2 linked regions of the Caenorhabditis elegans genome follow. The protein of the gene in region 1 purifies or fractionates together with the protein of each later gene. This does not show direct contact. Each region holds a gene or a part of one and is shown in the gene's direction. Other genes may lie near its edges.

The links. The genes of interacting proteins can lie anywhere in the genome.
Region 2: the proteins of pqn-68 (region 1) and Y54E5A.2 fractionate together in Caenorhabditis elegans (co-fractionation; one large-scale study listed by BioGRID). This does not show direct contact.

The regions. Positions count from the first base shown.
Region 1 is NC_003283.11:12,948,095-12,953,708, forward strand, and holds pqn-68 (D-aminoacyl-tRNA deacylase), read left to right. Parts: upstream 1-4,541; 5' UTR 4,542-4,543; coding exon 4,544-4,600; intron 4,601-4,643; coding exon 4,644-4,847; intron 4,848-4,902; coding exon 4,903-5,094; 3' UTR 5,095-5,114; downstream 5,115-5,614. Other genes in the region: T16G1.9 (EIF3k), read right to left, coding at 1-209, 255-402, 454-603, 652-1,082, 1,134-1,813, 2,151-2,301, 2,346-2,426, 2,472-2,562; T16G1.13 (uncharacterized protein), read left to right, coding at 1,845-1,925, 1,977-2,126; T16G1.18 (uncharacterized protein), read left to right, coding at 3,243-3,335, 3,843-3,929.
Region 2 is NC_003279.8:14,691,219-14,701,875, forward strand, and holds Y54E5A.2 (Recep_L_domain domain-containing protein), read left to right. Parts: upstream 1-2,935; 5' UTR 2,936-2,951; coding exon 2,952-3,021; intron 3,022-3,096; coding exon 3,097-3,371; intron 3,372-4,102; coding exon 4,103-4,334; intron 4,335-5,225; coding exon 5,226-5,320; intron 5,321-5,366; coding exon 5,367-5,484; intron 5,485-5,957; coding exon 5,958-6,129; intron 6,130-6,222; coding exon 6,223-6,250; intron 6,251-6,726; coding exon 6,727-6,905; intron 6,906-7,537; coding exon 7,538-7,640; intron 7,641-7,687; coding exon 7,688-7,785; intron 7,786-8,031; coding exon 8,032-8,283; intron 8,284-8,767; coding exon 8,768-8,829; intron 8,830-8,987; coding exon 8,988-9,082; 3' UTR 9,083-9,174; downstream 9,175-10,657. Other genes in the region: ttm-5 (Putative sphingolipid delta(4)-desaturase/C4-monooxygenase), read right to left, coding at 39-339, 392-496; npp-4 (Nucleoporin p58/p45), read right to left, coding at 10,092-10,312.

The DNA.
Region 1 (5,614 bases):
TGAAGCACACAAATATCCGTCGTCACCAGTCGAGAACTTAATTACAACAGAAACCCGAGGTGAAACATATCTTTCTACTTCAAATGGCCAAGTTCCTTCTACACACAACGTAACGAATGGAGGAAGTGTAGAGAGAAGAGGCCCATTCTTTTCATCAACATGTGTGGAGAGATAAATACGTGGAATACGGCGTTGAATCGATGTCAAAACTGGAAAAAAGAGTTGTTATTAAGACTCTTTTCCAGTTATCTCACGTTTCCTATCTGCAATCAAAAGACTGGCAAGATTTGGTCCAAAATGAACTACTTTGCATAATGGAAAGTCATCTAAAAATTGGTCGATGATAATTCTTGCTTGATCGCCCTCCAGATAATTTGATTGAGTATCAATTGACGGAACAAACTATAAATAAATGAATTGCAATTATTTTTTCCTCAAATAGTTTTAACTGACAGTTATGAACAACTCCTGGCACACTTGCATCATGTGGAACAGTTCCCGATTTGTATATGGCAGTTGATAACGATCAGTGGTTCTTACTTCAAAATTAACGAATAAATAATTGGCTTTACAAGATGATAATCGAGTTGCTAATTTTAGGATCTGAAATAGGTTGGCATTTATATGTGCAATGTTTGAAGAAAAACATACAGTGTCAGGATTGAGGATTCTACATCCTGAAAAGTCTTGATATACAGCTCTGAATGCTCGATCAGGTTGATCCCTAATAGTAAGTTCCTTGATTGTTCCGTCAGAGCTAATGTCAGTCAACTGTTTTGAAACACTATTCCCGTTGGAATGACTATGATCTCCACTAGCATGTCCATTGGTTCCATTAGACGAATTGGAAACTCCGTTGCTAACTCCAGACTGCTTATGTTGTGCAAATTTGTGCAGCCGAACAATTTGTACGAACGTTGCAAATGCGTGACGGATTCCAGCATAATCAGATCCAACAACTTCGACTCCTCTGATTGCATCGATTGTAAGTGTATATGAGCCAGAAGGACGTCCATCTTCAAACACTCCACATGTCACCTTTCCTTCCAATGAAGATGTTTCGTGATCTGCCAACCGATGTCCTGTAAGATGAGCTAGAATGGTGTTGAGTGAATAGTTCGGAGAAACATTACCTCTGTATTCTATATCGACTCCTACACTGATCAAAAGTGGCTTGCTGAGTTCTATAATTTGCATTACTTGTCGAGGATTGGCACTCGAACAATCATCAAAGTAGACTTTAAGTTTCCCGTCTTTCGGGAATTCAAAGTTCCGAGCAGAATGGGGCTTTATGGAAATAAGTTTTGGTTGAGGCCAAAGAAGATCTGTCCAAGAGTCGATTTCACCTTCAATGTACTTATCGTACTTGACGGAATCGTTGAAAATTTGGGTATTCAGAGTTTCTGTGCATGAAATCAAAGACATTCGATCGTCCATGTCATCAACTGATCTATGATGTCTAACATCTCTAGCTATTTGATCCATGCTGAGAAGTGATAGAAGAGATGGATTGTGAGTTTCAGCAAGTGCAAAAGCATCTTGATCCTTTTTTGTTTTGAGTGCAGGATTTGCTCCGGAAGAAAGTAGAAGTTTCACAATTTCTGGATCTGCTTTTCTCAGAATAGCAGTATGAAGAGGAGTCTCGTCTTTCGAATTTGCAAGATCAACAGTGGCGCCATTTGTGAGCAATGCTTTTACAACTTCCAATGTAGCAAAATCAGCAGCCCAATTTAAAAGTGTATTCTTTGTTTGTGGCGTGTCGAACGAATCAACGTGTACTCCGGCACGAATAAGTTGGCATAGACGTTCAGTTCTGAAAAATTATTTATTTCTGTTTGGTCAAGATGGAGAAATTCGCTAAAGATGAATTGGCACGTATCAACTCGTTTCCCGAAAGACGTAACAAGTGGCCACTGCTGATGCAGGTATTTTTTGGATTTTATATGTATGCTAATGTTTAAAAAAAACAATTTAAGACACAGATGACAACAGGCCCTGGCAGCAGCACACCTGGATTTTTCCCCCAACCACGTGCTCGTGATGATTCTAATATTGATGATGTGCCCTTGAAAAGCACCTACGTGGCGAAAATTCTTCAAGATCGTCAAGATGTAAAGACTGGTTAATTGATTAAAATGAATATTTCTTACTTGTTCATGTTAATTGACTGCAAAGCTTCTCGGACGAATGACAACCGAACATTTTCTGATTTGCAGCATTGATAGGCTGTTTTACCATCCAAGTTTTGTACACATGGATTTACACCTCCGGAAAGCAAAGAAGCTACACTATCAGCAGCATCTAAAACTGTTATCTTGCTTAAAATCAAAATCTCAAAATATTACCTAGCTCAACAGCTTTATGAAGTAGTGTTCCTTCCTTGCAGCAAAGTTTATCGACTTGAACGTGAAAGTCCGGTTGGTTCTCTGTAGTTTAACATATTGTTACAGTATACTTTTATTGAAACTTACTCATTTGTGACAAGATTGAGCAAATCACGTCCACTCGGCCGCTCTCAAGGCACTGCAAAAGTACCGGAGCGGCTTCTTCTTTTTCACCCATGTCGCTGAAATTATAGATTTTTTGAGGTCGAATTCGTGTTAAATACAGGGTTAAAAGATGATCGACTAACACGTTCGAATCGTCGTAAAAATCACAGCAACACAATGATTGGTAATACAAAACGATTTAGCATACAAAAATCTGGAGAAGCAGACAAAATCCACGAAGATCGCAACAAACACGACAGCAGCGGAATTTGACCTTTCAAAAAAAAATAAACGTGAAATTGATTTTTTCCATAATGGAAATTATTATATTCGGGGGAATTTAAGATATATTTCAAACTGTGATTTCACAAAAACTATTCAATAAAAATCTTTGAATTTTGTTTCAGTTTCTCAAAAAAGTACGAAGATATCAATCGTATTTCAAAACCTACGTTAACTTTCCAAACTTGTTTCAAGAAAAATTTCAATAAGAATTGTATAAAAATGTTTTCAGTATTATAGAACAAATATTCATAAACACGTTACCGAAACAAAAATCTTTGGGAATTTGCAACAAACAACTGGAAAGAGTTACCAAAAGTTGGCAAAAATTGGAAAAAATTGAAAAAAGTTGGTTGAGAAGTGGGTTAATTTGGCTGGTAAGTGACCACCAATTGCAGTGTTCCCGGCCTATGGTTTAACTAATATTCACGGCCACGTAGCATTTGACATGTTGTGGGCCTCCTCCACAAGATGAGACGGCAGAGAAACATACGGTCTCTGCGTCTCTCACTCCTACATCTGATCTCATTTATTTTGCACATATTGATCTACCGTCCGGCTCTAGTATGTAGACATTTTTGTTGAACCTTTTGAAGTATAAGACATATAAAAATGTCTGTATACAAAAGAGTAATTTAAAGGATAAATATCAACTCCAGTCGACAATGTAGTACTAAGTTAACTCAGTACTACATTGTCGATTTTTGAAGGTTTTTTGAATTTAAAAAAAGTTGGCTTAAAGTGAAAAGCGGCTAATGGAAAAACTTATTAGTTGAGTTAAAAGAGAGAAATTTCGGTCCAAAGATTACGCTGGCTACTACAGTACCCTCTTTACTGAAGAGCTGATAACTACATAACAAAATGTTCAGTTTGAAATGATTAATATTTCTTTAGTTGACAATATTTTTCTAACCTGTAAGACAGACTAGTTGCATGTCCCCAAAAGCTACATTGATTAGAAAGTCAAATAACAGTTCATGAAATACTTTTTTTAAAAGTTAGAAGAAAGTATTCACAAAATTGTTAGATATCTCATATAAAATAAGTTCCCAATTGAAATATCAATTTCAGGTTTCAGGACTTAGTGGTATAGCCGGTTTAAGATGGCCAACTTGGAAATGTCAAAATCCCCATAATTTTTTGTATATAGAAATGTAGTTCTTGTTAGTAAAAATTGTTTTAAATCTGCTTGTCATAATATTTGGTTAATAAAATTGTTGTATCTTTAAAGATAACGGAGATTGTAAGGTTTTAATTAAGGGTGGCATGTAAAACCACAGCCATCAAGTTATGGTCGTATCTTTTTATTGAGAAGAGATATCAAAAAACTCTCAACTTAAGAAATGTCTGTCTTTTTGTAATGCTCATTTTGTCAGTTTATCATTAGTCTCTATCTCAAACATGAACAGAGTTATATATGCTCAAAATCTATGAAGTGCATCCACTTTCTACAATCAAGGCTATAGCTGCTACAGTCTACCGTATCATCGATTTCTGCTCAAATTTAAGAACTCCTGTTGAAAACAACGGCAAGGTGGCCAGCAAGCAAACCGCGAGAGAGTTGGTACATTTCTTGTGAAGGAGACCGTGTACAGATTCCACGTCGCGCTGGCCGAGCCTTTGAGGACTAGTAATACGGTGGAGTGTCGTTAGCGCGCTCTGTTTAGCAAACATTTTTCATTTATTTTTAGGGTTTTCAAGAGAACATTTCAATAGTTTTCATCTGTTTTTTTTTGTATTTTTAACATTAGTTGTTTCAATTTTTTTCAGAAATGAAGGTAGTTCTTCAACGAGTTACTCGAGCTGCAGTCACCGTAGGTGATGAAGTGGTAAGAATATATTAACCGTTATTGTTTAAAATATCATAATCAGGTAGGTTCCATTGGAAGAGGTCTGTGTGTGCTTGTCGGAGTTCATCGAGATGACACGGAAGAGGATATGAAGTATATCATTAGGAAAATTTTGAATCTACGAGTTTTCCCTGCTTCGGAACAAAAACCATGGGATAAATCAGTTATGGATCTCGATTTAGAAGTGCTGTCTGTCAGTCAGTTCACCCTTTACGGTCAGTTTAAAGTGAGTTTTGTCTAATATACTTAAACAAAACTATTCATATTATTTCGTTTTTTAGGGAAATAAACTGGACTTTCATACCGCAATGGCCCCAACAGAAGCTTCAAAATTTTATGCTTCTTTTCTTGAAGCCATGAAAAAAGCTTACAAAGCTGATAAGATTCAGGACGGCAAATTTGCAGCAATGATGAGCGTCGATATTGTAAATGACGGACCTGTTACAGTTACTTTTGATAGTAAAGAAAAATAATAAAAATTTGTTTTACTACTGTTGAATTTTGTACAATTTTGTTCATACAGCGGTTTGATTCCGTCATCATATCTTAATTATTTTCATATATTTATATTCTCTGGCAAAACCTCATATTACGTATACCTTAAATGCGAGTTTTCAATATCTTACGCACATTGGTCTCACCACGCAGACGACGACTTACTGTAACTTTTGTCGATTTATGGATTTTGCATTAAATTTTGATTATATAAATCGTAACAGAAATTTTTCCTTTAATTTGAAAATTATGAGGCAAATGTGGCCCTTAATTTGACACCAGTTACAGTAACCCGATATCAGCGTGGCGAAACCCATACGCTGAGTTTTCCTCTAACAATAGTTTTTTCTTATTTCTAATGTAAATCTCATTAAAAACTGAAAAAAAAACTTGGAAAAACGTCTCCATTTCAGTTTGTCTGATAGCAAATCGAGTTCACTGAAATCTCTTAACCCAAATGGGGAGTGCCTCTAAAATCGAGGAAGATCTGTGCAGGAT
Region 2 (10,657 bases), on another chromosome or scaffold:
AAAAGTCCAGAATTTTATTTTTTACACAATGGACTTACCCAAATATCGATGATGCTCCACATGATACTTCTTAAAAGACACTGATATCGGCACAGCAATCGGCAAATTTGCCCACATTCCGAAAAATCGATTTTTCAATGGGTACTTATTACCAAAAGCCGTATTATGTGAAATATCATGGATGGCAAGTGTCATTGCGTGATTGATTATTCCACCGCAAAAGTAGGCTTCAAGTATTATTAATATCCAATCAGCATCTTGTAATAACCAACACATAAAAATTTGAAATATTACCAAACTAGACACCACGTATTTTAGAGATGGATCAACGCCGAATAGCTAAAATTTTCAGTTTCAGAAAATGCTCATACGTTTTAAAATATAAACTCACCTTTTTAACTTCTGGGTACTTTTTCACAATTTCCTCTCGTCTACTCATATGTGGCTGCTCTGTTAACGTCCAAATAAAATCATCTCGACTCACTGATTGCCCCATTTTAAGAGCAGTTTTGAGATCTGAAAAGTAGAAATTTTAAATAGAGAGCGCGGTGAGGGGGAGAGTGCAGACACTGCCTGCGCTCTCCCCCACCCCCACGCTCTCTCGCTAAAGAAACTTTGAAGAGATGTATCCCGGCAGGTAGGAAAGATAGAAAAACACTGTAAAAGGAAAAATTGTGTAGAATTGGATTTTCTACAAGAGGAGTGAATTGAATTCTGAAAATTTTGAAACAAATTTTGTGAAATGATTTTTTTGGGGGTTTGATTTTGTTAAATTTTCAAAAACTAATAATAACTAAATTTTGACAAAAAAAACCATTTAAATTCAAAATTCCAGTAATAAAAATTAAAAAAAACCGTGTAAATCACCTCTACAAATTCCTGCACAAAAAGAAAATCAATGGGCGGTTATTTTTCTTTCGGAACACATTAAAATGGGCAGTTTTTGTGTGATAAGATCACGTCTTAAAAATGATAAGAACACGAATATGATGAATCAGGAAAGGAGAGAGCAGGAGAGCAGCAGAGAAACAGACTATAAGGCACACGTAGTGATGTATTTGTTCTTGAGAGCAAAGAGTGCGCAGGGACTATAGAGACATTCCAATCCAGGTACAATATGATCTTTGGATAGACTTGAAGAGGAATTTGGAATTGAGTTACATTGAGAAGTGGTGTAACTTTTTGAAAATTTTGAAAAAAAAAACATTTAATTAAAAAAAAAAAAATTTCCAAAACTTTACAATCTTTTAGAAAATCTAATTCTACACAATTTTGCTTTTACAGTATGCTTCTACCTATCTTACTTGCAGAGATACACCGCTTCAAAGTTTTGAAGGCGAGAGAGTGTGGAAGAGGGAGAGAGCGCAGTGTCTGCGCACTCCCCTCCCCCACACTTTCTCACCCCGTCGAATTTGAAACGCGTGTAACTCTGTGGAAAAAAGAGGTAGAGAAACAATGATAACTGCAAAAATGTAGAGAATTTTGAGGAGAATATTTTGTTGGCTGAGAAAATTTTGATATCTTCATTTTTCAGGAAGATATAGGGGGCTTAAGAAATATTTAGTTAAAAATTCGTAAAACCACGCACAAACAAGTAAAAAATAGCGCGAGTGCTTTTTAAAGCAAAACATCTAGCAAAGGTTGCACATTTTCAAACTAAAAATTTATATTTTTCAATAAATTCAAAGGCACATATGCTCTCTGAGACAAAAAGTGATAAATTGGAAACCTTATAGGATGAAAAGCCAGAGGGGGAAATTGGTTGGTTAGCAACCACCTGAATCCAGTTTCCGTTGCTCTTGGAGCACACACATACGGAAAGGTGGACTTATTGCGTAGAGAATGCAACTATACATGCAAATAGAAAGGAAGGAACTGTGTGTGTGTGTGTTTTGAGAGCGAGACGGGAGAGGGAAGCGATGCTCTTTTTTTCCAATGATTCACTAGGTATTGGTCATTTTCGTGGTAAAACAAACAGTTTCAGACAGTAGAGTATAGGGAAATTGATAATGAAAACTAGACGGAAACATTATGAAATATCATTTGGAAAACTAAAAATTGAAAATTCAAATTCAAACATTCATTTTTCATAAATTTCATAAATGCTAAAACTCAAAACGTTATCCAGTAGAAAATCCAATTCTACACATTCTTGTCTTTTACACTACCTCTCTATCTTTCCTACCCGCCGAGTTACACCACGCTGAAGTTTTGGCGGGTGAGAGAGTGTGGGGGAGGGGGAGAGCGCAGGCAGTGTCTGCACTCTCCCCCTCCCTCGCGCTCTCTCACCCGCCAATCTTAAAACGCCTGTCACTTTGAGCAGAGGAGTGCAATTAAAATATTGTAAATTGCAAAAATGTACAGAATTTCAAGGCGTATATTTTGTTAGTTAAGTAAAATTTGGTAGAATAAGCTTCCGGTTAGATATGGCACTTTTGGCTCTTACCCAATAAATGCAGAATATCTTTGTAGAGCAAAACACTGCTCAAATACACTTTTTAGTTTGAATTTCAGGAAAAAAAAACAAGAAACTAAAAAAAACTCCGAACAATTTGTTTTTATTGCAATATATAGAGAATCAAATTCTGAACATTTTTCCTTTTTACAATATTTTTGTATCTTTCCTCTCTGCAAAGATACACCTCTTCTAAGTTTCGGTGTTGAGAGCGTGGAGGGAGAGGAGAGTGCAGGCAGTATATCTCTCTGCACTCTCGCCCTCCCCCACACTCTCTCACCCCAAAAAACTTCAAACGCTCACAACTTCACGCAGAGAAATGCTATCAAAAAGTGTTTAACTAACAAAATGTAGAGAATTTCACGGGGTATATTTAATTTTTAATTAAATTTTCGATACGATTTATTTAAAAAATATGTTTTTAAAAATAATTTATCACGTAAAAACTTTTTAAATCCATTGAAAAATCAATCTGCTTCATTTCTCCAAACCAACCATGGTTTTGTTGTTCAATTTTCTGAAACTTATGCTTTTTTCGACAGTGCATGGAATTGTTATCGAGTTTGGTAAGGAGACCTCTTCGCTGGAGCGCGTTTGCAGCCCCTTTCTGCAAAGTCTCAAATCTACTGTTTTTTTTTCAGAAAGACGAGCGGAACTCTACTCCCTGTACTCCTCAATTCCATTATCAAAAGACACGTGGAGATTTGAGAATTACCTGAACGTTCACAAGTACAACAATATACTATTCGACGGAAAAATCTTGGAATTCGACTCACTGGGATGGTTAAATGGGAATCAGACGATTTATCACAAATTACCATATTTTATATCGAATCCGGCGTTTCGAATTCCTCATATATCAAAGGAATTGTGTGATTCTAACGGGTTCTTTAATATTGGATTTCGCATTTTTCAGGTTTAATTTTTTTTTCTATTTATTCGATAATTTTTATATAATATTGTTGAATTTTAGCTTTTCGGGCCTAAAAATCTATAAAAACGGCAAAAGTTCGGTGGAGCGCGTTTGCACACTCGCGAATCGTGCCAAGACCAGTTTTAATCAATTTTTAAGATCATAGACAAATGCAGCTGTTTTTCTGCTAGATTTTATATGTTTCTAGTGAGCAAATTCATTTCATGAGCAAAAGAGAAAAAAAAATGATTAAAATAAATTTGGTGAAGCGCACTTTTACACGTGGTGTCAGGCGTTTTCCATAAAGTTTTGTAGATTTTAGTGTTAAAGTTCAAAATTTAGACATGTTATAGAGGCGTAGCGTAAATTTGAATGATCTACAATAAAATGCGGAAATTTTTTGCCCAGTAAAATGTGTCGCCAGCACACTTACAAAATTTGTTGAGAAATCTGCGACTCAATTCCCGCATTTTTTGAAGATCACACCGAAATGGGACACTCTGACCACGTGTTTTATTATCTTTTGCGGGCTTATTCACATGAAAAAAACCGTTTTTTTTCTATAAAATTTTGTAGATTTGAGTGTAAAAGTTCAAAATTTAGACCTGTTATAGGGGCGGAGCGTAAATTTTCAATTGTTTTTCCCGCCCCTTTTTTTTTGAGATCGCCTTCCCCCGATATTTAAATTCTCCAGAAAACGCTGCCCCTGCATCAAAATCAACGTTATTTTGCAGAAAACTCGCGAAGCGGGCCTCCCGTACCAACCGCAATGTGCCACGTGTCATCCGATAATTGAAGGTCTCCATCAAATGTACTACGTATTCCCGGAACGTGATTTCACTCAGATTTTCACGAAATTGACGATCGGCTCTCGAAAAATCAATAATTTATTGCACTATTGTAGTCGGGAGGATTGTGAACAGGAGCCACGTGTCTCGAATTTTCAGGATTACTTGAGAATTAATAGTGAGTGTATTATTTAACTTGGCTGAAAATTAGACGAACTAGCTGAAATTACCCTCAAAGTATCAGAAATTTATTTCTGAATTCAATGAGTCTAGTTAAGCATAGCATACATATCACAAGCCTTCATTATCTCTCAAGGGTACTCCTAAGGTGCTTAGTAGGTACAGTGCACCCAACAGCTACTTTTTTATAGAAAACTAGTATTGGAATTGGAATCAGCATACCAAAAAACCTATGGATCTATAATTTTATCATGATATCTCAAAAGTTGAGTGCAAAAGAGCAAAAAGTTGAAAAATCGACCGCCCAACTGCTATGGGACCCCCCCCCTGCGATTTTCGACAATTTCGCCGAAAATTCTCATTTTTTCAAGAAGCATAAAATTTTTCAGTTTCAAAAATACATTTAATGTAGTAATTTGGTGGTGTAATTTTTGTTTTTCATATCATCGAAATAACTGGAAACCTGCAAAAGCTTGATTTTCAACTTTTTATGACCTTTAAGCCCGACATGAAGCTACTGAGCGGGCTATTTTTTTAAGTTGTAAATGGCTTTTAGCAAGTTTTTTGGTGCCACTTGGTGTTTAAGCTCGTATCTGAGCAGCCGATGGAGCTTTCTTTACAAAATTTTACAGGCTATTTTGCTTAAAAATCCACAAATCATGCACCATAAACAATAGCTTCATCATACTTAAAATAATGTAGTACCATTAAAAACCCTAAGCTTAGTACTTTTGAAGCTTGTATAGTTTATCTAGAACTAGCTTATATCTGTAAATCATCCCGAAATTGAGCCAAATTAACTGAAAATTATTGTGAGCACATTTTTGATTCCAGTCCCTGTGACGCCGTTTTCCTTTTTATATCTTTTGCCAAACTACACCTTCCACAGACCTGCATTTTGGAAAGGTGACAAGATGGAGTGGAGAGCATGGAGCCACTGAAACCGACAGAGAAGCTATAGGGCTCCCCAATGGAGAGCTGGCGGTTGGTTTCCAGGACTTTACTCTCTGAAAAACTCAAAAATTTACAGATTCATTCTCGAAAAATTGAAGGATTTACTACAATGTGTGGAATTGAGTTGAATGGTAAAATTGTGAGCAGCTATAACTTTGTGAATGAGGATATTATTGGGGACGGAGAGCAGAATGGTAAGCTTTATTGACTTTATCGTATAGAAATTCAAATTCTGATTCTTTCTTCGTTTTCCATGATTTCTCTATCTCTACTCCCCGCCGAGATATACCCCGCTTTGAAGTTTTATTAGCGAGAGAGCGCGGAGGAGGGGGAGAGTGCAGACACTGCCAGCGCTCTCCTTCTCCTCTACACTCTCGCATTGGGAAAACTTTGAAAGCTTGTAACTTTGCGCAGAGGAATGCTATCAAAGAGTTGTCAACTGCCGAAATGTATAGAATTTTAATGAGCATATTTTGTTAGTTGGCAACTTTTTCGTGTGATCATTTTTTAAGGAAAAAACTCAGAAATTCCAAAATCCATATAACGTTCTTTATGGATCCCTAGTTAACAACCCTTTCATTTTAATTTATCAGGAAGATATCAAAATTCTGGCAATTAGTTGACAGATGACAAAATATAGAGAATTCCATTGAAAATACAGTTTCAGATAAAATCTTCACCTACGAAAACTACGAGTCTCTGGAAATTTCAATAAACTCTGTGAACGACACTAAGAACAATATTCAATTGTTCATCTCCTGGGATGATTGGGGTTGCTGTTCGGCGTGCTGCTGTCCCACCTCAATCTGTGGACATGATTATGAGACTGCTAGTGATTGGTCAGTTTTCACCTCTTATTTTTAGTACATATTTAAAATTTTCAATGAAAATCAATATTCCGCTCGCACCCGAGTTGGGCATTTGTCGATTAGGAAGTGGAAAATGGAAAAGGAAGCGCAGGTAAGATGGAAGTTATTTGAAGTGGCTGTAGCTTTGTAATAGTACAAGCTACCAAATAGTTATCAACTGACAAGTTGTAGGAAATTAATTTCTCTACAGATTACCAACTTTTTGATAGCTAGGTAACTTTGCGGAGATACAGGAGTTCCTCCAAGATAGTTCGAAAGCTTTCTAGCTCCGTTCAGATGTAAGATCTCAAAGTATTGTTAGCTAGCAAAATGTAGCAAATTAGATTCTTTATAGAATTAACTACTTTTAGTTAACTACTTTTTGGCACCTACAAAATTCTCCGAGTTATAGGAGTTTTGAGATAGCGCTTCACTTCCCCCAGAAGACTAGCCCAAAACCTGTCTAATCCCGTTCAGATACTTGATATCAAAAAGTTGTTATCTATGATAGCAACTTGTAGAAAATTAAATTCTCTACAAAGTGTTCGTTTTACAATTCCCATCACCTCTCACCATTTCAATTTCCAGCCCAACCAACCCAGCGAGTCACTGAACCAACTTCACAGACTGCTCTCAATCCCTCCGTATGCTCATCAGGGAATTCCATTGTTCTCGTCATTGTTGAAAAGAATTGTGCTTGAGGATATTTTAAGAGATATCCGAAGTGATTTGGTGCCAAAGTTCATTGTAGCTAACAAGGCTGCTGGGTAAGTTGAAAGGGAATTTTTAGGTTTTGAGGGGAGGTGGTTAAAAGCTTCTTTAAAACCCCCATATCTTTGCGCAAAAATGAGATACGAAGAAAGTATCAATTAATCAACTTAACTACTTTAAATTTGCTTGAAATTTCTAGTTGACAAGTTTTCTGTAGCTCTTACGGATTCGGAGCTACAGAAATCATAAAAACAGGTGTATTTTTGCGTGGGTGGGAGGCAGAATATTTGTTTTAATTAATAAAATAAACTACATAAAATTTTCTACAAATTGTTAGTTGACAACTTTTATGTAGCTCCTATTACCACCGAGATAAAGCCCGCTGAAATTTTTCTCAAAAATGCTAAAAAACTTTTTTTTTTCCAAAGTTTCAAAATCTTTTTCGCCCATCTTGTAGAGCATGAAATTCTGAGCATTTTTCAATTTTGAGATACACCGCTTTAAAGTTTCTGCGGTGTCTGCGCTCTCCCCTCGCCACACACTCTCTCACTTACCTTGCAAACTTAAAACGCTTATAACTCTGCGGAAAGCAAAGCTAATGAAATTTTGTAAATGGACAAAATATAGGAAATCGAATTCTCTACATTTTGGCAATTAACAGTTTTTTTGATACGACTGCTGTTTCCAGGCACAAATTCACGTCTGGAATGTTCATCGAATTAGAGTCCTGCAAGTCGAATATTCAAAAGACGAATTGCTACGAGTGGGCCAAGTGCCACAATATTTCGATGGTAAGTTCAGTGTAGACAGGCAGGCATGTAGGCATACCTACGTTTAGGAAGACGTCCACGTGGAATCCGAGGAGCAAGTTTCCGATTCGTGTCAGCAAGTGCAATTTATCGATGTGCTCGTTGGAATGGATAATATGAAAGTGACGTGGGTTTTTGCTTCCTTAGTTCAGTAGAGCGCAATTGCAAAATGGGAGACATTGATAAGGACTCGATCATGTTTAAATTTGATTAGGAAATTATTGTCAATCGGATGCAATTGTGCTCTATCGCAAAATTTTCTGGAACAATCGATATTAACAATATCGATTTTTTATTATCGATTCCACAAAAATGCCTACTTGTTCGATAGAGCGCTTTTACATCATCAGGAGCAAAATTATCGATTTTTCAGCGTCGGAGCCCACCAACATCTCCGTATCCGAATGGATTCAGAAGTTCACGATATGCGAACCACGTCCGCCAAATGGAGAATTGATCTTCGAAAACCCAAAAAATACGATAAGAACCGCCCGTGTCTGCTGCAGGGAACCGTGCAACGTGGCGGCGAGCTACTCATTCTTGACTTTTCCACGTGGCACATGAAAATTGATTTGATTTTGGCGAAGGAACGGAAGAAGGTTCGAATCACTTTTCATAATTTAAAGTGAGTTTGGAAATTTTTTGGGAATTTTTCAGATTTTCTTTTTCAGATTTTCAATTTTCAAATGTTTCCAATTTTCCCTGAAACTTTTTATAACATTTAACAATTTCGATTTTTTTCAATTTTCAGAATTTTTCGAAAATTGCTACTAGTTGGGAAAATTCTGGGAAATTAATGTTTTTTTTGAAAATAATGGAATTTTATCGATTTTCCAGAATTTCCTGGAGTTTGATTTATTGCCAAATAATTTTTGGAAAAGTCTGAATAGTTAAAAAAAAAGTTGAAAAACGTCCGAAAAAACGTCGGAAAAATTTCAAATTTTTTTAAGGTTTAAAAATTCAAAAAAATGCGATTTTTAAAAAAAATTTTTGATTTTAGAATTTTCGGGATATTTCAGAAATATCGATTTTACAGAATTTTTTGAGGCTTTTCATGGAATTTGGAATTTTGGGGAATATATATTTGATAACAAATTTCGAACTTTCAGAGTTGACGAGAAGGTTTCTGCAATACAAAATACTGTATTCTATTGGGCGCTGGCAATTGCTGGTAAGAGTTTTTGAAGAAAATTAAAATTGAAATAGTGAGAATTTACAACAAAAAATTCCAATAATTTAATACTTCTGAAAACTTATCGCGTCTAATGAAAGTAAAATGCTGAATTTCAAAAAAAAAGAATCAGCTCAAAAATAATAAAACATTTTCAGCATTCTTCCTGCTTCTCGTCACTGCCGTCATTTTAATGCACAGAGAGAAGACACGGCGTTTGGAGAAAACTCTTAAATCAGTTAATTCACACTAGTACATTGTCGAGAGAACTCGGATTTTATAAATAAATGATGAATTTATGGTGTTTCAAAATTTTTGATTTTTACTATAAATGACTCATTTTTGGCATTTTTCAATAGTTTTTGACGGGTTAAACCTAGATTTTCTGAATTCAGCGTGTATGAATTACCCGTTTTCAACAAATTTAGACAACTTTTTATTTTTGCCAAAATTTTTTTCAGCCATCTAATGACTGTCCTTTTTTTTATTTTGGGCAAAAAAATAATTGTCTTGAAAATGTTTAAAACTACTATATTCTGAAAAAGGGCAATTTTTTAGTGATCCTAAATCAATTTTGAGTCCTCTAACTACAAAATTGCCCGTTTTAGTGAAGTTTCAAAATTGTGAATTTTTGCCATAAATTGGCCATTTTTGCCACTTTTTAATAGTTTTTGACGGACTAAACCTAGATTTTCTGAATTTTGCATGTATGAATTACCCGTTTTCAACAAATTTAGACAACTTTTTATTTTTGCCCAAATTTTCTAATGACTGTCCTTTTTTTTTATTTTGGGCAAAAAAATAATTTTCCTGAAAATGTTCAAAACTACTATATTCTGAAAAAGGTCAATTTTTAGCCTGCAGTAATCATACAAAACAACTAAAGTAAGCCCACAGTACCCTTACAGTACCTTAACATCATCCCCACCAACTCCCAACAAAATACCTCTACTAAAGCTAAAAATTCAAATTTCCCAAACTACAATAATTCTACAGTATCCCTACAGTACCCGTACAGTAATCCTTCAATACCCTTATAGTACCTTAATTTTTGATGAAAAATTCAAAAATTTTACAAAAAATCAGATTTCATGGGAAAATTTGCTGTGTAGAGACAATGTAAAATTAAAATCGAATAAGCTTAATGTAAGAATAGGGTAAGAACAGGAAAAGCGTGAGGAATCGAAAGAAAGATCAGAAAAAATAAATATTTCACAAATTAAATAATAAAACCAGTCATCATGAAATAAAAAAATAAATAATTATTTCTTTGAACTGAACAAAAGACCACTGGAATTATTAGCAACAGTCGATGCAAATGGTGTAGTTGTGGTGGCTGGTTTGGTTGATCCGAAGAGTGATGTAGTCGGAGTTGTGGTGGTGGCAGCAGCTGAGGATGTTGCAGTAGAAGTTGTTGCACCGAATAGAGATCCTCCAGAGAAAGCTGGTTTTGTGGCCGTTGATCCGAAAAGAGAAGTTGTTCCTGAGAGAAATTGAAGGTTTAGATTTTAAAAATCATAGATTTTTTGGACTTTATTGCCAATTTTGACGATAATCCTTTTTTGGTTCGGAAATATCGATTTTTCTCATTATTTTGAGAAAAATCTATATTTTTTGTTCCTTCTTGCAATTTCGCGGAAAAATTAAAAAAATTTCTACTATTGTTGTAATTTTGACAAAAAACTGTTTTTTTTTGGTAATTCACAATTTCGATGAAAAATTGTTGAATTTTGGCGAGAAACTTAACGAAAAAAAAAACAAAATTTTTTAACTTTGAACGCTTAGAGTTTTCATTTCATTAGTTGAATTTTTTGTCGGAAAAATTGAG